Sus scrofa: one gene and its partners. The protein of the gene in region 3 interacts with the protein of the main gene of each other region in a biochemical or structural test. Links are inferred from orthologs where the notes say so. Each region holds a gene or a part of one and is shown on either strand. Other genes may lie near its edges.

Evidence for each region.
Region 1: the proteins of ubiquitin-conjugating enzyme E2 N-like (region 3) and RNF135 form a complex in vitro, tested with the Homo sapiens proteins (4 studies listed by BioGRID). The link is inferred for Sus scrofa from reciprocal best matches to the Homo sapiens genes UBE2N and RNF135.
Region 2: the proteins of ubiquitin-conjugating enzyme E2 N-like (region 3) and RBX1 form a complex in vitro, tested with the Homo sapiens proteins (5 studies listed by BioGRID). The link is inferred for Sus scrofa from reciprocal best matches to the Homo sapiens genes UBE2N and RBX1.
Region 4: the proteins of ubiquitin-conjugating enzyme E2 N-like (region 3) and RNF8 form a complex in vitro, tested with the Homo sapiens proteins (7 studies listed by BioGRID). The link is inferred for Sus scrofa from reciprocal best matches to the Homo sapiens genes UBE2N and RNF8.
Region 5: the proteins of ubiquitin-conjugating enzyme E2 N-like (region 3) and OTUB1 form a complex in vitro, tested with the Homo sapiens proteins (6 studies listed by BioGRID and IntAct, with this or other methods). The link is inferred for Sus scrofa from reciprocal best matches to the Homo sapiens genes UBE2N and OTUB1.
Region 6: the proteins of ubiquitin-conjugating enzyme E2 N-like (region 3) and TRIM25 form a complex in vitro, tested with the Homo sapiens proteins (3 studies listed by BioGRID, with this or other methods). The link is inferred for Sus scrofa from reciprocal best matches to the Homo sapiens genes UBE2N and TRIM25.
Region 7: of the proteins of ubiquitin-conjugating enzyme E2 N-like (region 3) and UBC, one has a biochemical effect on the other in vitro, tested with the Homo sapiens proteins (21 studies listed by BioGRID, with this or other methods). The link is inferred for Sus scrofa from reciprocal best matches to the Homo sapiens genes UBE2N and UBC.

Annotation. Positions count from the first base shown.
Region 1 is NC_010454.4:42,793,255-42,796,096, forward strand, and holds the end of RNF135 (E3 ubiquitin-protein ligase RNF135), read right to left. Parts: intron 2,699-2,842; coding exon 2,169-2,698; 3' UTR 501-2,168; downstream 1-500.
Region 2 is NC_010447.5:7,512,065-7,516,182, forward strand, and holds the start of RBX1 (E3 ubiquitin-protein ligase RBX1), read right to left. Parts: upstream 2,801-4,118; 5' UTR 2,226-2,800; coding exon 2,156-2,225; intron 1,715-2,155; coding exon 1,671-1,714; intron 1,244-1,670; coding exon 1,165-1,243; intron 1-1,164. UniProt on the Homo sapiens protein: E3 ubiquitin ligase component of multiple cullin-RING-based E3 ubiquitin-protein ligase (CRLs) complexes which mediate the ubiquitination and subsequent proteasomal degradation of target proteins, including proteins involved in cell cycle progression, signal transduction, transcription and transcription-coupled nucleotide excision repair.
Region 3 is NC_010443.5:26,024,561-26,028,607, forward strand, and holds the start of ubiquitin-conjugating enzyme E2 N-like, read left to right. Parts: upstream 1-1,247; 5' UTR 1,248-1,619; intron 1,620-4,047. UniProt on the Homo sapiens protein: The UBE2V1-UBE2N and UBE2V2-UBE2N heterodimers catalyze the synthesis of non-canonical 'Lys-63'-linked polyubiquitin chains. This type of polyubiquitination does not lead to protein degradation by the proteasome.
Region 4 is NC_010449.5:32,959,312-32,962,811, reverse strand, and holds part of RNF8 (E3 ubiquitin-protein ligase RNF8), read right to left. Parts: intron 1,472-3,500; coding exon 1,267-1,471; intron 155-1,266; coding exon 108-154; 3' UTR 1-107. UniProt on the Homo sapiens protein: E3 ubiquitin-protein ligase that plays a key role in DNA damage signaling via 2 distinct roles: by mediating the 'Lys-63'-linked ubiquitination of histones H2A and H2AX and promoting the recruitment of DNA repair proteins at double-strand breaks (DSBs) sites, and by catalyzing 'Lys-48'-linked ubiquitination to remove target proteins from DNA damage sites.
Region 5 is NC_010444.4:8,088,028-8,090,291, reverse strand, and holds the end of OTUB1 (ubiquitin thioesterase OTUB1), read left to right. Parts: intron 1-593; coding exon 594-712; intron 713-901; coding exon 902-986; intron 987-1,082; coding exon 1,083-1,277; intron 1,278-1,408; coding exon 1,409-1,606; 3' UTR 1,607-1,764; downstream 1,765-2,264. UniProt on the Homo sapiens protein: Hydrolase that can specifically remove 'Lys-48'-linked conjugated ubiquitin from proteins and plays an important regulatory role at the level of protein turnover by preventing degradation.
Region 6 is NC_010454.4:33,185,990-33,188,440, reverse strand, and holds part of TRIM25 (E3 ubiquitin/ISG15 ligase TRIM25), read left to right. Parts: intron 1-569; coding exon 570-1,099; 3' UTR 1,100-2,451.
Region 7 is NC_010456.5:28,252,693-28,256,656, reverse strand, and holds the start of UBC (polyubiquitin-C), read right to left. Parts: upstream 2,801-3,964; 5' UTR 2,745-2,800; intron 1-2,744.

The DNA of each region.
Region 1 (2,842 bases), on a different chromosome or scaffold from region 3:
ATAGGAAAATATATTCCCTCGTGGTTGCTGTGGTTATAATCACCCTGGCATTCTTCCAATGGCCTCATCTATTTATTTAATTCTCTCGGCAACCCTTGGGGGAAGATCAGGAAGGGCAAAGAATAGTCACTGCCCTTTTACATGGAAAAGGGGCAAAGAGGTGACATGCACGATCAAAGGCTGCCTCGCTGGTTTGTGTGGCCAGACTTTCTGCCCGGCCCAGTCCAACGGAACTGAATTTCCACTTCTCCCACCAGTGTGGAGGCAGCCTGGGAGCCTACAGATGAATCGGAAGAAGAAAGGGAGGGGAAAGCTTCGGATCAGAAGACTTCAAAGACATATCAACTGCTAATGGGTATCAGGGGTCTTTCTGGGGGTGATGAAAATGTTCTAAAATTAGACAGTGGTGATGGTTTCACAACTCTGTCAATATATGAAAAAACTGATGTGTACACTTGAAGTGAATTTTACAGTATGTAAATCAAATCTCAACAAAGCTATTACGAAAAAGATGTATCAGGTTTTTTTAATGGGCAAGACTAAATGCTTGCAGCTAGGAACACATATTTAGGTGCTAAAACAAAAGATGCAAGGAAGCCATTACTATAAAAGCCAGGACGGGCGTTCCCATCGTGGCTCAGCAGAAATGAATCTGACTAGCATCCATGAGGATGCACGTTCAATCCCCGGCTTCACTCAGAAGGTTAAGGATCCGGAGTTCCCGTCGTGGCGCAGTGGTTAACGAATCTGACTAGGAACCATGAGGTTGTGGGTTCAGTCCCTGCCCTTGCTCAGTGGGTTAACGATCCGGCGTTGCCATGAGCTGTGGTGTAGGTCACAGACGTGGCTCGGATCCCGAGTTGCTGTGGCTCTGGCGTAGGCCGGTGGCTACAGCTCCGATTAGACCCCTAGCCTGGGAACCTCCATGCCTCGGGAGCAGCCCAACAAATAGCAAAAAAAAAAGACAAAAAAATAAAAAAAATTTAAAAAAAAGAAGGTTAAGGATCCGGTGTGGCCATGAGCTGTGGTGTAGGTCACAGACGAGGCTCAGATCTGATGTGGCTATGGCTGTGGCTGTGGCGTAGGCCAGCATCTATAGCTCTGATTCGACCCCTAGCCTGGGAACTTCCATATGCCGAGGGTATGGCCCTAAAAAGACAAAACAACAACAAAACAGGAATAGAAAAAGGCACATAGGGCAGGGGCCAGGAGACCCCTAATTTCCTCTCCCAGTGGAGTCAGGAGAATAAGGCTTAATTCTCCCAACACAATGTGTGACAACACAGACAGAATATTGCCAGCCGGGAGGCCCAGCCAAGACTTGTGTCCATGGCTTTGACTGGGGGGTCGGTCACATAGGCAGACCCACCACCCACATCATGACCTTAGTTTCCAGTCCCTCCAGAGGTCAAGCTGATACTGCCTGGCCCAAGACCCTCAGGTAAAGAAAGACACCTTATCAGGCAGGATATTACAAGGGCTTTGTTTTTTTTTTTTTGGTTTTGGTTTTGGTTTTTGTCTTTTTGCATTCTAATTGGAGCTGCAGCCACCAGCCACAGCAACGTGGGATCCGAGCCGCATCTGCAACCTACACCACAGCTCACGGCAATGCCAGATCCTTAACCCACTGAGCAAGGCCAGGGATCAAACTGGCAACCTCATGGTTCCTAGTCAGATTCGTTAACCACTGTGCCACGACAGGAACTCCTCCAAGGGCTTTGAAGTTATCTCCCAGTCAAGACTCTCCTTTCTTTGGAATGTGCGGATCTGAACAACCTAAGCCTGCTGAGTTAAGCACTTACTTCGAATTCCTTAACATCTGAAATGGGAATCTTTTTTTTTTTTCCCAGGGCCACACCTGCGGCATATGGAAGTTCCCAGGCTAGGGGGTCGAGCTGGAAGTGCAACTGCAGGCCTACACCACAGCCACAGCAGCACCAGATCCAAGCTGTATCTGTGACCTATGCCGCCACTTGCAGCAACACCGGATCCCTAACCCACTGAGCGACGCCAGAGATGGAACCTGCATCCTCATGGATACTAATTGGGTTCTTAAACTGCTAAGCCACAACAGGAATTCCCTGAAGTGGGATTCTTAAGCCAAGTTGCCGGCCTGCCTGAAGCCAGAGAGACTGGGAAACCAACATGTTTTCACACCCAAGGAACGTTTATAGGTTTACCTGCCTTACAGTCAGAGAGTTTCCAGGATATAAGCCATACAGCCAGAAGGCAGGGTACAGAGCAAAGGAGGCAGAGACTGGATACTCGTACAGAAGCTTCTCTTGATCAGCCACGGAATAGAAGGCGAGCTTTTCCTTCTCGAAGTCCAGCCAGATGCCTACCACACCAGGTCTGTCTGAGCCAAGGACAGTTTGCTTGACTACGTGCCACGCAGAGAGCTGGCTAGCCCCGTTCCACTCCACGCACCAGGAGTCGCTGGTCCTTCCCAGGATCTGGTCACGCCTCATCCCCCGGGAAGCCACCCCAACTGCCCAGTGGCTACAACGCTGGGTGTCCACTTCCCAGTACCGCTGCCCAGAAGAGAAGCCCTGGGAACCCAAAACCTGGCAGGAGGCAAACCTCTCGGGACTCCAGGGATAGGACTGTGGGTAGTGAGATACGGTCACCGTCCGGTGATCCTCGGACACCTCCAGGCTACAGGAGAGGCTCCCTAGGTCAAAGGTTGGACTGATGGCCCCTGAGGGAAAAGAAACAAGAATGTGACCAGCCAGCTCTGATGGTTCATGCGAAGAGATCCTCAAATAGCAAAAAGCAGCTTTGTATCTTCGAGTGTGATAAAGTTTTACTCACACTAACATAAACCCTGGTATATCAACGTGCA
Region 2 (4,118 bases), on a different chromosome or scaffold from region 3:
GGGGAGAAGAGGCGGTGAATATTCCAGTAGGGGGAACAAGATATGTAAGAGCTCTATACAAGACCACGGATAGTTCCAGAATAGAAGGAAAGCCAGGGTACTACCAGAGTAAGGAGAGTGGCTCGAGATAAAGCTGAAGAGGCACGTATGTGGTTTTCAAAATAAGTTAAAATTTCAATTCTAGAACGTTGAAATTTCTTTGCCCTATTTCTTTCGTGTGTGTGTGTGTGTGTGTGTGTGTGTGTGTGTGTGTGTTTAGAGTCATACCTGTGGCATATGTAAGTTCCCAGGCTAGGGGTCGAACCAGAGCTGTAGCTGCCAGCGCACGCCATAGCCACAGCCACACCAGATCTGAGACACTTCTGTGACCTACACCACAGCTCACGGCAGTGCCAAATCTTTAACCCATTGATCAAGGGCAGAGATCAAACCCCCGTCCTCATGGATACTAGTCGGGTTTGTTGACCACTAAGCCACGACGGGAACTCTTCTTTGTCCTCTTTCTGATCTCAGTAACAAACCATTTTAGTAACTGAATAAAAAGTAACCTCAACTGCTCCTGGTGTGATCAATAATTCTTGCCCCTAGTACTACAGAAATACTAAGTCCATTAACAGCTATAATTAAACCTACTGTGTGCTGACCACTATGTGTAATGGACTATATGGAAATTTAAATGAAATTTTCTTAGAGCAATTAACTACCTATTTAGATGTTGGCAGTGATGTTAACTACATTTGGGGCTAACACTGAAAATGCATACTCCTTAGACCTCTTCATAAATCTTCCCCAGCAAACATTTGCTCTGCTAGGATATTTTAGCTCAAAGTTAATTTTCTTTCTTTCACTATTTTTGCCTTTAAGTCTGGGTGCAAGATGGGAAATGGAGAAGAAATAATCAACAGTACCTCTGTGCCCGCAATTCATTCTAAATGTGGCCTTATCTTTAGATTGAATAGCCTTATTCTGAGAGATGGATATGCCTTCAGGACACCCTAAAAAAATTACTTTATTTCAAACATACCAACACACCAAATGCAGAAGTCCCCAAGTGCTAAGAATATACTTTATCTTTCCTCGTGAAGAAGAAAATTGGTCACATCAGGATAGCTGCAATCTCTGTAACCTTCTCAAACTTCCTCCCATCCTCCTCCAATTACTTACAAAGATCCATAATGTGGTTCCTGCAGATGGCACAGTTATCAACCACAATATCCCAGGCCCAGAGGGCTACTGCATTCCACTGCAAAGAGAAAAAGGGGGAACAATGCATGCTACTCTTTTAACACAAGCGCACACGCGTGCACACACACACACATACACATACACACACACACTCCAGGATTTCATCCTGTAGTTATCACCTTTTTGGCCACAAAGACCACCAAACAAGAGTTTCTGGATGTTACATGACTCTTTTTTTTAAAATTATATCAGAGAGCATCAGTAGGCTACACGTATGCTTACCCATTCTCTAAACTGTCAACTATATAAACACAAATGAATATCATCTTTTATTTTTTCCTACAGTTTAATTTAGTCAGCCATATCAATATAAATAAATCAGGAATAATTTATAAGTGTCGGTTTTAGGTCTAATAATCACAAACTTGAATTACTGTGCAGGTTCTCCTGGCAGTTGCAAAAGAGCTCAATTTCTGCATAAATACCTGCTCTTCAAGGCAGCTTTTACGCAGGAATGGACAGGTGAAGGCTAGGAAGAGAATGAACTAAGATGTTGATTGGATCATAAAACGGGTAATCGTAGGATAAGCTGGATAACTACCCAGTGTGAGTCCATAGAACAAGGTCATCGCTTAAATCTTATAAGATTATTTCACAACAAACTCTAAAATTCACTGGAATTTCGTATAGTTCCTATCATCAAATAAGCTGATGTTCTCAACTTTTATATGCTCAGACTGTTATATTTAGCTAGGATAATTTCCTTAAGAGTTTATCTAAAAGTGGTATTTCAATAATTCAACCTCTGGCTTCTGCAATAAATATTCCCAAACTCCCTTTCACCCCCTAATTTGGTGACACGTCCCAAACCTTCATCTCCTTCAAACCTAATTTTCAATGTCTAGCAACTTCTTCAACACTTTTCACCGACAGCTTCAACTTGGAGGAAAGAAGAAAAAAAAAATCTTACTTCTATTCTTCAATATGGCTGCTGGCTGTAACTGAGCATGCAGTGCCCACAATGAAACGCCAAAACGCATTAGACGGGGGAATACCGTCAGGGTTTAGCTAGATGTTCCAGGGATAAAATCTTCCCTATTTGGAATCTTCATTTTGGACAGATTTGTTTTATCTAATGTGGGATGGGCACTTTTCTCCCAAACTGCTGGCAAATCACTGTAAGGCATTTCATGCAAAAAGACACGTTCCACATTTCTTCTTTCCCACTTTACCAGGTTGTTCGCAACTTGTATTCAACCCTCCCTACTTGAAACAATACTTGGGCTCCGTTTTCTTTTTAACAAATTCCACCATGCCTTTTTTTTTTTTTTTCGGATGGGGATTCTGGATATGACCGCAGGACTGGGGCGGCTGTGTAACAAATCAACAGACCTTTCAGAAGAGCCAAGAGTTACACTCGAGAAACTAACTCGGCAGGGGCGAGGGCCAGAGAGGGCTAATGGAGGCCTCGATTAGGCGAGGACCAGGTCGAGGTTCCTCAGAGGGACCCCAAGCTTTGGATAGGGGCGGGGCACGGAGATCACTAGCCCGGTCCTCAGAAGCCTCCAATGCGGTAGGACCTCAGGTTCCCGGCTTGGGCCGTACTGTCCCATCCTCCACCCACCGCAGCCCTCGACTCCCCCTTCCACCCGCCCCACCCTCGCCTTCCCCACCCCTCCACCACTCCAGTGACAGCTCAGGCGCTTGGCTCCTGCATCCAAGTCGCAACCCCGCGCATCTCAATAAGCACCTCCGTGATTGGCCCCTCAGCCTCCGAGCGAAACCAACACTGGCACTGACAGTGGGCCGCAGTCACGCCGATCAACCCTAAGACCCGCCTCCCGGCTTCCTTTGGTGGTACCCGGTCCCCGGAACGCCCTGAAATGAAGCCCTTTCCTCCGCGCCTTGGTCATCCTGGGCCTGCCAGCCAGATCCGCGCCTCTCTAGTTTCCCTGAGGAAGGCGCTGGCGAGACCCAACCTTTTTCACTTCAAAGCGCTTCTTGCCCGCGCCGCTGTTGGTGCCGCTCGGGGTATCCACATCCATCGCTGCCGCCATTTTGGAAACACACGATCTGTCGTCTCGTTACTGCGCCTGCGCGCCAGCGCACGTCTCACTCCCCCTCCCGTCCGGACACCTCCTCCCGCACCCCACCCCTCACTGGCGCGCGAGGGGCAAGTGGGGGCGGAGCGTGTGGCCACGCCTCTTAAAGGCGCTGGTGCTGGTTCCCCCCGCCCCCCACTCTACCCCGCGTCGGCTGGGAGGAGGCGGTTGCCGGAGCTGCTGGGGCGGGGCCGGGCGGGGCCGGGCCGACGCGAGAGAGCCGGGTGGAAATGTTCGAAAGGACTCGCTCTCATCGCCCTTCCTCGGGAAGCCCCCGGCCTCACTCCCTCCGCAGGGGCGGCGGCTGTTTCCTCCGCCTCGGCCGCGACCTGCAGCCCGCGCACAGCCTATCCTTCCCCGCCGCCGCGCAGCTCCAGTGCCCGCGGGTCCTCGTCGCGTTCTTCCGGGGAAAGGGCGAGGGTGGGCGTCCCGCCTCCTGCTGCGGAAACCCAAGACCTCACTCTTAGTGGTCTTTCTCAGATCCTGACCCACTTCTGAGCCCGGCCTGAGGTCCTAGCCTCCTTGGGCCATAGCACCTTTCCAGCCAAAGCACCTGTGCTTTCTATCACCTTCCCATTTGTAGACCACCTCTCCACTTTTTTTTCATCTCTAATCTTGCAGAGGTATGACTGCTAGATCACTCTTAAATCTTGTATTGGCTTATTTGAAATCTCGTATCTTCTCTTAAAAGAAAGCTGAAGAGTAATGGATGGTCTTGACTCCACTGTTAAACCAGAAGTAGGGTTTGTTTCCTTGTCTTAATTTTAAACAGGAAAACAAATCTGTGAAAACGCCGCAGCTTTAACCGGAGTAGAGAGAGAAGACTTGTGA
Region 3 (4,047 bases):
CCTTCTGAACACTTTAAATTTCACTCTGCTCCACTTCCATGGTTTCTGAGAAGTTGCATGTAATTTTCATCTTTGCTCTACTATAAGTAAGGCTTTTTTCCTCTCCTCTGGCTTCTTTCGAGATTTTTCTTTATTTTTGATCTTCTGTAGTTTGAATATGATATGCCTAGGTGTAGTGTTTTTTGGAACTATTCATGATTGATGTCTCTGACATTAGCATTTTACATTAATTTAAAGAAAATTGCTGTCCTTATTGCTTCAAATATTTCTCCTATTACTTTCTCTTCCTGGTATTCCCATTATACATATGTAACACTTTTTTATAGTTGTCTCACAGTTCTTAGATATTATCTTTTGGGTTTTTTTTCCATTTTTTTTTTCCCTCTTTGCATCTCTGTTTTGGAAGTTTCTATTAACATTTCCTTAAGCTCAGAAATTCTTTCCTCAGCTGTGTCCAGCCTACTGATTAGCCCATCAAATGCATTTTTTTATTTCTGTTACAGTGTTTTGGTTCCAGCATTTCTTTTTGGTACTTTCTAAGAATTTCCATCTCTCTGCAGACATTGCCCATCTGTTCTTGCATGTTGTCTATTTTTTCCATTAGCCCTTTGCATATTCATCATATTTATTTTACATTCCTGGTGTAATAATTCTAACAACATTCTTGCCATATCTGAATCTATTCCACTTTATTATTATGTAATGCTCCTCTATATCTCTGATAACTTTTATTGCTCTGAAGTCTGCTCTGTCTAAAATTAGTAGAGTTACTCCTGAATTTTTTTGACTGGTGTTAGCATGGCATATCTTTCTCCATGCCTTTATTTTTAATTTACGTATGTCTTTATTTATATATGCATGCATTTGGTCACACCTACAGCATGTGGATGTTCCTGGGCCAGGGATTGAACATTGCTCTGGCTCTTCAAATGGTGTCTGTCTTTTGCCTTTTAGTATGCCTTACAAGTTTTTCTTGAAAGATGGACTTGTACTGAGTAAAAGGAACTGCAGTAAATAGGCCTTTAATGATGTGGTGGTTAGGTGTGGGGGAAGGGAAAATGTTTTATAGTTTTATGATTAGGTGTCAGTCTTTTGATGAGCCTGTGCTGCTGGGCTGTGAACGTCACACGTGCTTCTCTGTTGTTGTGGGTTTTTTTTTTTTTTTGCCCCACTCCCCCCCCTTAATTGGAACAAGATGCCTAGAGGAGCAGGAGTTGCGTATTTCGCTTCCCCAGTGTAAGAATAGAGCCAGCTGGGGCTGGGCATTTCCCTTCCCCTAGGTCAGTTAGGCACAGATAAAATCCCAGCAGGTTAGGCCCTAGAAAATAGCTTCTCCTGCAGGCGGACCTTGTTAAGAAGTGAGTGCTCTGGCACATTTCAAGGTGGTTCCTCTTCGGCTCCTTCTTCAGGAAACACAAGAAGATTTTCCTCTCAGATCTCCACTGTGAGAGTCTAGTAGGGCTCCTAGAGGCAAAGCTCACAAAGTGTGGATTCCTCTGGAATATTTAATTCTCCGATTTGTCTACTCTGCGGCTCCAGCCACCTGTCAAATACAGTTCAGCTTTCCTGACTGCGGCACTGGTTCCTGAGGAGGTTTCTGCTTGTGGGTTTCCGCTCTGGTAAGTTGTGATTTTCTGTGTCTCCCTGTCTCTCTAATGTGAGGGCCCGAGATTTGCCCTGAGACCTTCGTTCTCTCATGGATTTAAGAGTGGGTGATTTTTCAGTTTGTTCGGCTTTTTCTTGTTTTTAGAATGGAGGAATGACTTTCAAGCTCCTTCCAGGCCAGACCAGGAACTGCACCCCTTTTCCTTTTTATAAAATGATACCTGAGTGATATTTTCTGATCCAGTGTAGAATTTAGTGAAAACGTCTACATTCTGGTCATTGTTGCTATATTATTCCCTTCCGTTAATCCTTTTGGGCTATAATTGTTTCCCCAAATACTTTTTAGCTGTTAACAGTCTAGTTCTTTCCTCTGTTTGTTTTTCTTCAATTCCACTCCCACTCTGTCTTGGAGTGCTAACAACCAGTACCACCCATGTGTGCCAGTTGGGTCAACATTTAAACAAGGATGTACTGTTTACACTGTTGTTTCTAACATTCTGGTTGCAAACACCGCTTTGTGCTTTGTGAATTGAATTGGTGACAGGTGAAACTTAGGCTGATGGCAGAGAATTTGGGGTTATAAATGATGGTTCGAAGCTAGATTTATTTCGTTTTCTCTAAACCTATTAAATCTGTCCAGGTTGAAGCTCACTTGTATTGTATGCACTCACATTACGTAGAGAAATGGCTTTCAGCCTTGCCTTTGTAATAGATTCACTGGCTCTATTTCTATTTAATTGGTCTAGATGGGTCCTGGTATCAGTATTTCTGAAAGTTCCTTGAGTAATTCTACCATGCAATTTGAGGTAAGTCCATTGGTCTGTAGCAATGGTCAGCAAAACTTTTCTTTAAGGAGCGGAGAGTAAATATTTTAGGCTTTGAAGATCATTTGAAGATCATATATTCTCTACTGTAATTACTCAGCTCTCATGTAGCCGCCACAGGCAAATGGGCATGGCTATGCTCTAACAACTTCCTTTCTAGAGACCAAAATTCTAATTCATATACTTTTCATGTGTCATGAAATATTCTTATTCATTTGATGTTTTTTTTCAACTATTAAAAAATATAGGAGTTCCCGTTGTGACTTGGCAGTTAACAAACCTGACTAGGATCCATGAGGATCCCTGGCCTTGCTCTGTGGGTTAAGGATTCGGCGTTGCCATGAGCTGTGGTGTAGGTCTCAGACACGGCACAGATCTGACATTGCTGTGGCTGTGGTGTAAACCAGCAGCTGTAGCTCTGATTCAACCCCTAGCCTGGGAACCTCCATATGCTGCGAGCGCAGCCCTAGGAAGAACAAAAAAAAAAAGTACAGATTGGTTTTGTCTTACAGGATTTACGATAACAGTCTGCAAGTGGGATTTGGCCTAGGGACTGTTGTTTGGCAGTTCCTAGTTAATGGTTTATTTTCTTCACTGCTTCAATTTGGTTCCAAAAGAGAAAATGTTTCCTTAGTTACATCACTGATAATATCTTCAATGAATCCCAGAACTGACTACTTATTTTAAGTCAGTTTATCAGAACATTTTTAAACATGGCAATGCATTTCCTTATTAGGCTCTGAAGTTGTGGCCATTGAGATGCTTTTATCTATGAGTAACAAGCATGGCTTAAAAGGCTTTCAACAGTAGGAAAGGTATTATCTCATTAAAATAGAGAGAATTGCAGGGCTATTGTTATTTGAAAATGTCATCAGCCCAGATGTTTTCCATCTTTCATTCTACTATCCTCAATATTAGTCCTGCCTGATGTCTTGCCTCATGGTGGCAAGATGGCTGTAGTAGCCCTGGGCATCACATGCAGACTCACAACATCCAAAAAAAACAAAGAATAATTCCTTCCTTGAATTTATTTTGAATGTGGGGCAGTCTATTTTTAGACCAAGGCCCTCCTCCTATGTAAATCTCCCCTTAAGTCTCAAGGACCAAATCAGGCCCTGGTGAAGGAATTGAGATTACCATGATTACCTATCATGATGCTTGCCTTGGCTTCAGGATCTGGTCTGCCTTTCACAGGTGGCCCCAGGATCCCAGAATCAAATCAGGGTTCTGATAGCAAAGGAAGAGGAAGAAATGGCAGTGGGGCAAAAAAAAAAAAAAGTCTCACACAGAACTAGATTGTTAGGATTAAAAAAAATAAGGCGGCTGTCTCCTAAACTCCTCATTTCCATTTGTTTATTTACTTCCTTTAAAAGACCATTAGACAATTGTTGAGTACAATTTTCCTGAAAGATAGCTTATTGATTTTTCACTCAAGTAGGTTACATTTTGCTTCAGCCTTCAAAGACATTTCTATTACTCCCTTCAGATTACATTTAAAAAGGAATGTATCCGATTTTGGCTTACTTTGTTCTTTTTCTAAACCTGTACCACGTTGTGTGTGTAGCATAAAAATGTCCATGTCAAAAAAGGTTTAAAAAGAGTCATCACTTTTTTCTTT
Region 4 (3,500 bases), on a different chromosome or scaffold from region 3:
ATTTCTGGTCCTCCTCAAAGTGGCTGTTATCTACTGAAGGACTAGGAGAAAGCATGCAGTAGGCAGATGATCTTGTTCTTAGCAGTGTGGCTTTTAAACCTTCAACTTCACACACACGAACATGGGTTCCCAACAGTCAGATGGTGGGAAGCACCTGGAAGGGAGGTGAACTTTTATTTATTTTTGTCTTTTTAGGGCTGCCAGCTAGGGGTCTAATCGGAGCTGTTGCTGCGGCCTACACCACAACCACAGCAACACAGGATCTGAGCCATGTCTGCGACCTACACCATAGCTCACGGCAACACTGGATCCTTAACCCACTGAGAGAGGCTGATGATCGAACCTGGCTCCTGATGGATACTAGTTGGGTTTGTTACCACTAAGCCACAGTGGGAATCCCACTGGGTTTTTAAAGGGACTGAACATGATAATCAGATCCATCCTGCCTCCAGGCACTCTTCCCCACCCAGTAACCAATCCTTCTGATCCACTAGCTTCCTTGTGCTTTGCCCCAGGAGACACATTCTTCTGCCACAGCGACATTCAAGTCTCATGCAGAGTGGCTCTGCAACCCTCAGCAGTGCAGGCGCCAGATGTGATGACCTCACTTAGTTAAATGAGCAGATAGTCACTACACAAATATGGTTACTTGAGGAAACTCACCCGCTCCTTCCCTAAACTCTTTATCCAAACTCTCTGCCTGGGAAACTTGTTGGTAAATATATTAGGATGTCCAAAGTTAACACAGTAGGATTAAACTGATTTCTTTTTGATTAATATTATGCCTAATTTGTGTAATCAAGCTGTGACTCTTACTGTGAATCTAAATATGTTTTCCTCACATTTCTTGGCATTCTCCAAGGTGTGAGTCTTTTACGCGTACACATCCTATTTATAATTTATTATACACCCAAGGTTTTTAATGACACATGGACAGCAACTAAACTGTCTTGAACAACAGCACCATCTAGTGACCAGCACAGCAAACTGTTTTCTAATCACATCTTTATGCCAGCAACCAAGACATGTACACCCAAGCCATACCATTCCCTGCTGCTCAAATAATAGTTTATTCTACCTCAACTCTTACACATTCACTATCTTTAACTTGCTTTACTTTCCCCCATTTCTTCCAATTCTCACTTAGCTCAAGAATCTTTAAACAAAACAAAACAAAAGAATCATTTATGTTGACTCCTCTCCATCCAAAAAAATCATCCTAAGCCTTTGGTTGAGGGGACTCACCTCTTGTTCAGACCCACTCACCTTTTCGTTCCTTGATGAGAACAACTCGTCGTTCTTTCACTTCTGAGCTCAGATTATCTACCATCTTATTAATGCAATTGTCCAGAACCAGGGAGTGTGTTTTGGACTTGATGTCCTTCCGACAAATGGGGCATTCTACCTTCCGCTTCATCCACTCATTGATACAGAAGGAGCAGAAACTATGGGCACAGTTCAAGGTGACAGCCTAGAATGGGAAGGTGAACACACACATCAGAACTGTCATGGTTACTTCCCCAGGGCCGTTGTGATCCTTGAACTAAGACAGAAGTGAATTCCCAAGGCCAAATGGAAATTTAATCACAGCCTCATCCAGGGGGTTTACAAAGGGTATCAGAATCATTCCTAGGAATGGGAAATTTTAAGCTTCATGTTAGATGATTCATTTTTCTCTCTCAAAGTTAAGTTCCTAGACTTGGCTTCCAGGTAGGCTGATTTGCCTATTCTGTTCCAAACTCAGGTATCTCATGCTGCCAACATGTACCAGCTACTGTGCAAAAAAATGTCACCAGACATAAGAACACTGGTAAGCCTGTGAGTGTTTGGTATAAATACACCGTTAATTCTCTCATGAAAAACAAATGTACATCCTAATGGGGAATTACAAACTCAATTTTAATAGATGCAAGAGAAAAGAGAACTTAAGCTGGGAAAAAAGGAACTAAAAATGGGGGTGAAATGTAATGGGTTCAACTGAGAGTGCCTTAAGTAAAAAAGCCTATGAGAAGAGAGAAAGCAGAAGCAAGTCTGAATCTGAGCAGCTCCTCTGAGGAACCCCAATGATCAGCTAGTTCTGCCCAGGCTCTTTTCACTCCCCCAATATAAGCCATTCTTTGCATTACTCCCTTTTATGTATACCTCCTAAGAAACAACTTTTTCTGAGGCTCAAAAATCTCATTCTGGCTTTCAGGACAGCAGCAGAAAATAACACAGAAATTACGTATTTTCCAAATGCCAAGTTGAGACCAGAAAGCCAACTAGGAGAAGTTCTCAGTAAAGAATGAGATCAATTCTCATAAACAGCACTAAAAACCTGCATGATTAAAATGAAACCTCTTGCAGTTCCTGTTGTGACGCACTGGGAAACGAATCTGACTAGGAACCATGAGGTTGCAGGTTCGATCCCTGGCCTCGCTCAGTGGGTTGAGGATCCAGCATTGCTGTGAGCTGTGGTGTAGGTTGCATACAGTGCTTGGAGCCTGTGTTGCTATGCCTCTGGTGAAGGCTGGCAGCAACAGCTGCAATCAGACCCCTAGCCTGGGAACCTCCATATGCCACGGGTATGGCCCTAAAAAGACAAAAAAAAAAAAAAAAAAAGAAACCTCTTCCCAATACTGACTTTTTTTTTTTTTTTTTTTGTCTTTTCTAGGGCCACACCCATGGTATACGGAGGTTCCCAGGCTAGCGGTCTAATCAGAGCTGTAACGCCGGCCTACACCACAGCCACAGCAATGAGGGATCCGAGCCATGTCTGCGACCTACACCACAGCTCATGGCAATACCAGATCCTTAACCCACTGAGTGAGACCAGGGATCAAACCCAAAGCCTCATGGTTCCTAGTCAGATTCGTTAACCACTGAGTCATGACGGGAACTCCCCAACACGGACTTTAAGAGATGATCAGCAGAAATGGTCAGGCACACCTGCAAATCAAACCCAGGTCAAGTTCTCTCTTCTTCATGCTGTACAGATGCTCTCAATTACCTAACTTAGCACCCATTCCAATCCCTCTTGTCTTCCTCTATTAGAGCCCATAAGCCCCAACAAAACAACACTAACTGAGTTTCTCCAAAGTAGGAAATCAAATGACTAGAAATTGGGGGAAATGACGATCTGAGTCAAAGTGGATCTAAAGCAAAAGAACCAGGTCTATCCAGGAGAGACTTTTCAGGAGGCTACCACACTGCGTCTCCCTAGAGACCACTAGAAAAAAAGCAGCAGTGTGTGTATGAGATCTCTTTTTCAAAGGAGTCTGCCTGGAGTTCCTTCATGGCCCATCGGGGGTTAAGGATCTGGCATTGTCACTGCTGTGGCGCTGGTTTGATCGCTGGCCCAAGAACTTCTGCATGCCATGGGTATGGCCAAAAAAATTCAAAAAGGAATCTGAAAAGCACTCCTTTTTTATTTATTTAACAACTTGAGTCTAACACCTGTGGTGTTAAGATGAATGGGTCACAAATGAGAAATAGTGAAAAAAAAAAAAGTCTGTGCAGAA
Region 5 (2,264 bases), on a different chromosome or scaffold from region 3:
GGTTCTCAGGGGAAGTCTTCAGTCCAAAAGGAAGCAAGGTCAAGGTGGGTGGGGGTTTGAAGAGAACAGAAAAGGTATGAGATGGGTGTCGGGGAGAAGGGGAGGGCGCCTAGGCTGAGGGAGTGAGGCCTTGACTCCTACAGGGAGGTTCAACAGACAGAGAAGAAATTTCACTGAGTTTGGGGAGGGAACCAGAAAAGATGGAGCCAGTGCCTGAGGGTGGGCGGGGTAGAGCTTAGAAGGAGGTGAGGGAGGCTGTGTCCAGCCCCAGGCTGTGCCATGGGCACCACGCTGCCCTGGAGCTCTCCAAGTGTGAAAGGTCCTTCCCTGGAAAAGCTGCTTTGATCAAGGACTCAGTCACTTGCCCAGCCGCTGGTGACCCGTGCAACCTATGTGTCCAGAAGTCAGTTTCCTGAGGCTTTGGGGGCTCCTGGTAGCATCACCAGAGTCAGCAGCCAAGGATGGCAGGTGGCTGCTTGGAGCTTAGTTGCCACCTGCTGTAGAGCAACCTCGTCAGGGCGGTTTCCTCGGCCCGCCCTGGCTCTGGCCTGATGTTGATGGGCCCGGGTGGGGCGGGGGCTGCCTCTCCGCAGGACCTCCACAAAAAGTACTCGTACATCCGCAAGACCAGGCCTGATGGAAACTGCTTCTATCGTGCTTTCGGTTTCTCCCACTTGGAGGCGTTGCTGGATGACAGCAAGGAGCTGCAGCGGTGAGGAGGGCGGGCCCTCGAGCACAAAGAGGCGGGTGGGGCAGGGTCCTAGGAAGGGCCCGAGGGGCTCCCTCCATCCTCCTGGGGACCAGGAGGTGCGGTTCCCGTGCTGCCCGGGCCCCCACCTCTGAGCTGGCCTCTCTGCTGGCCGAGGAGCCCGCGCAGCCTCTCTTTCCCTCCCGGCTGCAGGTTCAAGGCTGTGTCTGCTAAGAGCAAAGAGGACCTGGTGTCCCAGGGCTTCACCGAATTCACAATTGAGGATTTCCACAACACGGTGAGCCTCTCGGCCGGGTGGAGGGCGGGGGGCCTGGCCGAGGCAGCATCGGCCCATCTCCTCCCTCACTTGCTCTCTGTCCCCCTTGGGCGGCAGTTCATGGACCTAATCGAGCAGGTGGAGAAGCAGACCTCAGTGGCCGACCTGCTGGCCTCCTTCAACGACCAGAGCACCTCGGACTACCTGGTGGTCTACCTGCGGCTGCTCACCTCGGGCTACCTGCAGCGCGAGAGCAAGTTCTTCGAGCACTTCATCGAGGGTGGGCGGACCGTCAAGGAGTTCTGCCAGCAGGTGCTGCCCCCTCCCCGCTCCCCAGACTCACTGGGGCCTCAGGGTGGGAGCCTCGGGGCCCGGGGGTGCACCGGGTGGCTGGGGGTGCGGAGGCGCCAAGACCCAGGCCCTGAGCGGCCCCTGTGCTGCAGGAGGTGGAGCCCATGTGCAAGGAGAGCGACCACATCCACATCATCGCGCTGGCCCAGGCGCTCAGCGTCTCCATCCAGGTGGAGTACATGGACCGCGGCGAGGGCGGCACCACCAACCCCCACATCTTCCCCGAGGGCTCCGAGCCCAAGGTCTACCTTCTCTACCGGCCTGGACACTACGACATCCTCTACAAATAGGGCTGGCCCGGCCTGCCGCCGCCCTGCCTGCCCTCCCCTCTGCCAGGCACTAGACATGTACAGAGGTTTTTTTTGTGGTTGTAAATGGTCGTACTTCACCCCCCACGCCCTTCCCTGTCACACGACCTTCCATGTTTTATTAAAGGGGACGCTGGTGGTGAGCCGCGTGTGTGCGTGTCCCTGCTCTGCTGCTGCCCTCCTGGCTGCTCTCTGTCTGGCTGCCCCACCCCCCTCAGGTGGCTTCCTCTCAGCCTTCCACCTGTCCACCCCCAAGCCTCCCCGCCAGGAGTAGTTTTGAGGGGGCTAGGCCTCTTGGGGACCCCTCCTGGTTATTGGGCCTCTGCTTCCTTCCCTTCAGGCCTCTGCCCCTGCCCTCCTTAGCCAGCCAGGCCTTCCAGGGGAATTTGGAAGTTCCTTGGAGACTGGCCCAGAGCCCCAGGACCACCAAGGCTTCCAGCTCTGCCCTCATAGGCCACGCCTCCGCCCTGCTGCCCTGGCCTCCCCGGCCACCTGCTCTCCATCAGGGGTCTGCATGGTGGAGAGGGCTGGCCTGAGGGTGCGGCCTGGCTCAGGGTAGGCGGAGGAGCTGGGCCACCCTAGTGCACCCCAGGTGCTGCCCTCCGGGCGGGGGAGGGCTGTCCTCAAGTCTGTCCTTCCC
Region 6 (2,451 bases), on a different chromosome or scaffold from region 3:
AGATGGACATATGTCTGGCTGGCTGGACAGAATGGATGGCATGTGCCAAGGGCTCATATATAGTTTTGGATGGGGTTCCCGTCGTGGCGCAGTGGTTGACGAATCCAACTAGGAACCACGAGGTTGCAGGTTCGATCCCTGGCCTCGCTCAGTGGGTTAAGGATCCAGCATTGCTGTGAGCTGTGGTGTAGGTCGCAGACGAGGCTCAGATCCTGCGTTGCTGTGACTCTGGCGTAGGCCAGTGGCTACAGCTCTGATTAAACCCCTAACCTGGGAACCTCCATATGCCACAGGAGTGGCCCTAGAAAAGGCAAAAAGACAAAAAAAAAAAAAAAAAAAAAAAAAGTTTGGATGGTGGAATAGACAGAGAGATGACAGATGGCTGGATTGATGGATAGACAGGTGGACAAATGTCTGGCTGGCTGGACAGGATGGATAGATGGATGGATGGATGGAAGGATGGATGAATAGATAAAACCAACGAACAAATATTACATTTAGGGAAAGTTTGAAAAGTGAGAGCCCTTCGGGCACCTTGTCCCTGACCCCTTGGGGTGATGCTTTCTTAGATGCCGTTAAAGTCATCCTGGACTACAACACCGCCCACAACAAGGTGGCCCTGTCCCAGAACTTCACCGTCGCTTCTGCGGCCGACACGTCCCAGGACTACCAGCCACATCCCCAGAGGTTCACCTACTGCTCGCAGGTGTTGGGCCTGCACTGCTACAAGAAAGGGATCCACTACTGGGAGGTGGAGCTGCAGAAGAACAACTTCTGCGGGGTAGGCGTCTGCTACGGCAGCATGCCGCGCCACGGCCCCGAGAGCCGGCTTGGCCGCAACAGCGCCTCCTGGTGCGTGGAGTGGTTCAACACCAAGATCTCGGCCTGGCACAACAACGTGGAGAAAACCCTGCCCTCCACCAAGTCCACGCGGGTGGGGGTGCTTCTCAACTGCGATCACGGCTTTGTCATCTTCTTCGCCGTGGCCGACAAGGTCCACTTGCTGTATAAGTTCAAGGTGGCCTTTGCGGAGGCGTTGTACCCGGCCTTCTGGGTGTTCTCCGCAGGTGCCACACTCTCCATCTGCTCCACCAGGTAGGCAGGCTGGGGACCCTTGGCTTGACTGCCTGGGCCGTGCTGGAGACCCTAATGAAATTGCTGCAGGTGGGACTCTCAGGGAGCTGCCCTGAGCGTCCCCAGGGGTTGCAAGGATGGGAGGGGAGTGGGTGAGGGTGAGAGGGTGGGAAGACGGGGTAAGAGGAGGCTGTTGGCCAGGGCAAGGGGTGGGGTGATTGTGATGTGGGCAGGGAAGCCCTTCTGCTTCCTGGTGCCCTTCAGGGGAGGGACAGGATGTCCCCCCTCCCCTGACTTGTTCTCTGGACAGCTGGGTGGGGCTTTGAGAATAAAATCATTAGCACCCTTTTCCTCTTAGAGATAATCCATAGCCACTCTGGGTTCTTCCTTAGGCTGCTGGTGTCTGCCTCTTTGCTCTCTGGAGGAGCCTTCAAATCTTAGTGTTCGGATGACTCTCTGTAGAGCTGTTCGACTCTCTAGATTTAAAAAAAAATAACTTCCAAAGTCACTGAGTTTCAATATGACTCGCCCTCCACTACCTACACGTGGAGGTTGGGGTGAATGCTCAGACTTCTGGTTATTGGCTGTGCCCGAGGGAAGTGACCCACAGGGGGTCTCCAGCCAGACCAGAGGATTCCCAAAGAAGGATGGCCTCTTTCTGCACTGGCACATAGCCCTGTTTCCCTTCCTGTCCTGCACATCTCATCACCCCATCCATGGTGTTAAAATGTGTAGGCAAATAGGAACCTTTTCAGTGTCAGATTTCAAACCCTGATCTGAATCAACCTGGGTTGAATTTGCGATTCAAGGTCAAGGTGACCCAGGTCCCACGTGGATGGCAACACCCCTCCCCACTTGCGCCCCGTCAAACATTACGAAAGGCATCTTGGCCAAGATGCCTTGGCTGCAGCCATGGAGCCTTCTTCCCCTAGCCCAGGCTTTGGGACAAAGGACTCCGCTAGGCAAGAGGGACCCTCACGGGGTTCACAGTTGGTGGTCTTGCTCTCGTTAGCGTCTCTTGCCTTCTAACTCATCACTGTCCTCAGTGAGAGCCTCCCCTCTCCTGGACTGTGAGAGTCTGGACTGGCTGGGAGAGCCACATCCACTGTGGCCAGCACTGTTGAACAGTCAGCCTAGCCTGCTGTCACGCAGACAGGCCCTCTGTCTCGGGGACACACTAGGTCACCTGCTGGGGTGACTCCCTACGGCCAGAAGGGCCTTCCAGCGAATCCATGGGAAATGGCACCATGCCTCCCAACCCAGGCGGTCCTTGCATGAGACAGAGGCCTGTCACCAGCCCTAGCCCCGTCCGTTCTCCTTGGCTGAGCCAATTCCAGGTGTAGATTGTCTTGACCTGGTGAAGAATCAGGAAGACTT
Region 7 (3,964 bases), on a different chromosome or scaffold from region 3:
GGCTGTCCCCGCTGCCGGTCCCCGGCGCCCCCTCCCCTCAACCAGGAAGGCTCGCCTTTCCTGAGACCCGCCCTCGGCTAACAGGGGTCCCGCCGAGCGCCTCACGATGAATCGGGGTCCCGCTCCCCTGGCCCGAGTTCCGCCGTGCCCCTCCCCCCAACCCCTCTTCCCCGCCAGCGAAACCGTGGGGTCTTTATTCTGGGTCTCCCATAGGTAACGATAGTGTTTCTGTTTCCATAAACTTCCCCTCACCCCCAGTGGGTCGCGAGGACTTCCCGGGGGGTCTAGTCACCCCAACTGTGGCGGCCGAACCCATCCCCCTGCGGGCGGGCACCGGGACAAGAGGAATGACTCGACAAATCTCGGGGCCGGGCCTCAAGCCCGCCTCAGGAGGGTCGTCAGGACCTGCAGGAATTTTCTCACAACGCAGGAGTGAAAAATAAGTGTCCAAAGGAGAAATGCCTGTGACAAGTTCACATTGAATTTTGAAAAGTAAAAGCAAAAATTCCACACAGCTGTGAAACACTCCTTGCGCTGGACCTGAAAGCTGACAGAACTTTGCGGATTGCTCTTCGGCCTTCCTGTTTTGTTCCCGATTATGAGCAAGAAGGCATCAGAATTTCACTTCTGCTGCCATTTGAACTCAGAAATCAGAAATCAAATCTATTTAAACCCACGTTTTCTTTTTTTCTTTTTTTTAATTTTATTTTTTAATGAAGTTTTTTATTGTAGTTGATTTATAATGTCAATTTCTGCTTTACAGCAAAATGATAGTCATGCATATATATACATTTCCTTTCTTATCGCTGAGCCTGAGATTTTTAAAAGGACACTAATTGTAAGTTCTGTATAGTCCTGGTGGAAAAAAGACCCCAAGTATGAAATTTAAATCTATAGACAAATTCCATTTGGATAAAAGAAAAAGATCACCAGTCAGATCTTTTTCATTTTGATATTTTATTTTGTGATCTCTGTGTCATTTCTCCAGCATATTTTTTCCTTTTTTCAAAAAGCATACTTAAATTTTTTTCCAAAGGCATATTTTAAAAATGTTTTAAAATATATGAACGTGATGAAAACTTAAAACAGGTTTTCTATAGTTTATAATGAAAAACCTCCCTCATGCACTCAATTCCCTAGCCACTGTTCTTTCTAGACTCTTCTAGAAATATTCTCTATTTCTATAAATGTGGGGAGGGTGTTTTTAATTTTTACCCTTGAAGCTTTCAATAAATATATAGAAAAAGAGAGAACCGACTAAAAAATACCCTGCTATTAGGAAAAGACTACATTCCTGTTGGAATTATAAACATTATGTTATTTAAATACTGTACTTAAAATGAGAATAAAAACAAAACTATGTTTTCTTTGGCAACCTGTGTCTGTAGGTATTTATGGGAAAGGTCTAAGCAGTATTCAAAACAGACTTTAACTCCTATCGTTTTAAACATTTTCAAAGAGAATGAATTCATTACCAAGAAATGTAAATGAATAATAAAAATAAAATGTCATTTTTCAGTTTAGCAGGAGACCTCAGTGACTTCCAGTAGAGATTTCTGTGAGGGATATTTCTAAATTTCTGAAAAGAGGGTTTAAAGGAACAGAACATCAAAGCTCTGTATAAGGTTTCCTTCTTGAATTCCAGAAAGAAGTTTTCAGAGGAACAAAAAGCTGAGGTTCTTTCTCAGGTGACTAGGCCTGGCTTCAAACCACACCCTGTTTTCTTTTGGCTGTTCTTTCACTGCAGGTCTTATGATTCATGTTGTTTAAAGGCTGAGTCACGAGCTTTGTGACATAGCTTTTTTTTCAAGAGTCCAAAAACTACAGAGAAAAACAGACCTGATTTCAGAGGCAAGGGAAGGTGAAAAGGAGAAAGAGGGGGAGAGGGGGAAGAAGAAAGGCTCCAAGGGTGAGGACTGGGTCCCAGGGCTATCTCCAAAGAGAAAACAATATTCTTAGGCGCTAACAACACTGATGTTGTCTCTAGCAGGAAAATTCTCTACTAGAGAATTTTGGTCTCTAAGTCCAACAGTGGGTTTTGTTGAAGCAAATAGAAATAAACATTTGTCCAAGGGCACTGAAGTGAAAGGGAGGAGGGGGAAGTAAACTCTCAGGGAGGTAGATGCTGTTTCTCTAGAGCAGTGGTTCTCAACCAGGAGCGACTTGGTCCCTTGGTGGACACTTGGCAGTATCTGGAGACATTTTTGCTTGTCACAGCTGTGGTGTTGGGGTTGAGGTGTGCCGCTAAAATCTAGTGGTAGAGGCCAGGGATGTTACTAAACATCCTGCAGTGGCCAGTCCCCCACAAAAACAGAATTACCCAGCCCCCAAAGTCAGCAATGCAATGGGTTGACAAATTCTGCTCTACGGAGGATTTTTGTTGTTTTTGTTAGAGCTGCTTTTCTGTTTGCTGAGAAGGGCTCCCAAAGTCTAAATGTCCCACTTGGATTCGGGGATCGTGTACCAAGTCACGTTCCTACAACCTAAAATCCCTTGACCTAGAATGCAATGTGCTAGAATATGCCAGAAGCAGGATGAGTCATTGGATCCATTTTCAGTTCCTTCCACCCACTGATCCATCCTTTGCAGGTGCCCCAGAAGGGATGGCTTCAGAGCTGGCACCAATGGAAGAGTGACAGAGGCCCAGCAACACGGCAGGATTGGCGGGCAGGCAAGAGCACGTGATGGGCTGAGCTCACAAAGGGCCTGGGTGTTGGGCTGTTGGGGATTGGACTGGAGCCTACCTGTCTGCCTTTCCTCCTTTCCCCAAAGGATTCAGCTCTCCTGAAGGTCACCACCTTGTATGGGACTTAACTCAGCGTCATGAGAGTGTCTACGTAGTGACCAGCAAACATTTTCTTTCCAAGAGAAAGGGTGAAATCTGAGAGCTGGACGGGAAAGGTTTGACTTGCGTCATCATCAGTTATATAACCATAAAAGGGAATCTGCAGCTTAGGAGAGAAAAAATAAAAAGAAGCCCTAGGGACTCTACTCTGTCCGTTTTCCTGCTTACATTTATGTATTTGCATTCTGTGGCAGAACACAAACTGCTCCAGCTTAAAAATAACCCATCTTATCCCCCCGCCAGTCAGGAAGTCAGATTCAGTTCCAGTACCCAAATTTGCCTAACTTAGAAACACTAAGAAATTTTTTAACTCACTGGGGTTTTGTTTTGTTTTTTAATTTGCTGTTTTTAAATTGTGGCAAAATACACATAAAAATGTATCATCTTAACTATTTTTAAGTGTACAGCTCAGTGGCATTAATTATATTGTAGGGGAGGAAAAATAATTTTCCTTTTGGGAATCCTTCTTTTAGCTGAGACCCCTGTAATGAAAGACAGATTAGCAAGAGAAACAAAACAAAAGAAAACAAAAACAATAGTTTAGTAATATGCACACCTTGTGTATATATGGGAGCTACCCTCTGGGGGAAAATGTGTCACTTAAAAAAAAGGCTTTAGAATTTAGGCTTAAATACCATCTTAATAGGAAATTCTCTTAAAGGGAGAGTAAATAATTTTTACTGAGAAAATAGAAGAATAGATGGAGACAAGATAGTTGATGACAAAGTTTGGTGTCAAAGTTTGTCTCTCCTGTTTTAAGAGCCAATCTTCCCTGGTTGGTGAAAACTCCCTTGAGTTTCTTTTGCAAAATCTGTCTGGGCAGATTAGGGGAGTTGAGTGAAAGCCTCACTCTGCATTTGCTGCTTTTCAAGTGACTACACCTCAAAACAATATCAAATTGGGGTATTTGGGTGTCCATCACTGCCATCTGTGTCCACTCTTCGGCTTGCTAGACTGAAATTTTGTACGCATTAAACACTAACTACCCCCACCCCCAGCCCTGGGCAACCACCATTCTATTTTCTGTCTCTATGAATTTGACAAGTTTTTGGTACCTCATATAATGAGTTTTGTTAGTTTGTTTTTTAACTATGAAATAAAATCTAATTATTGAAAACA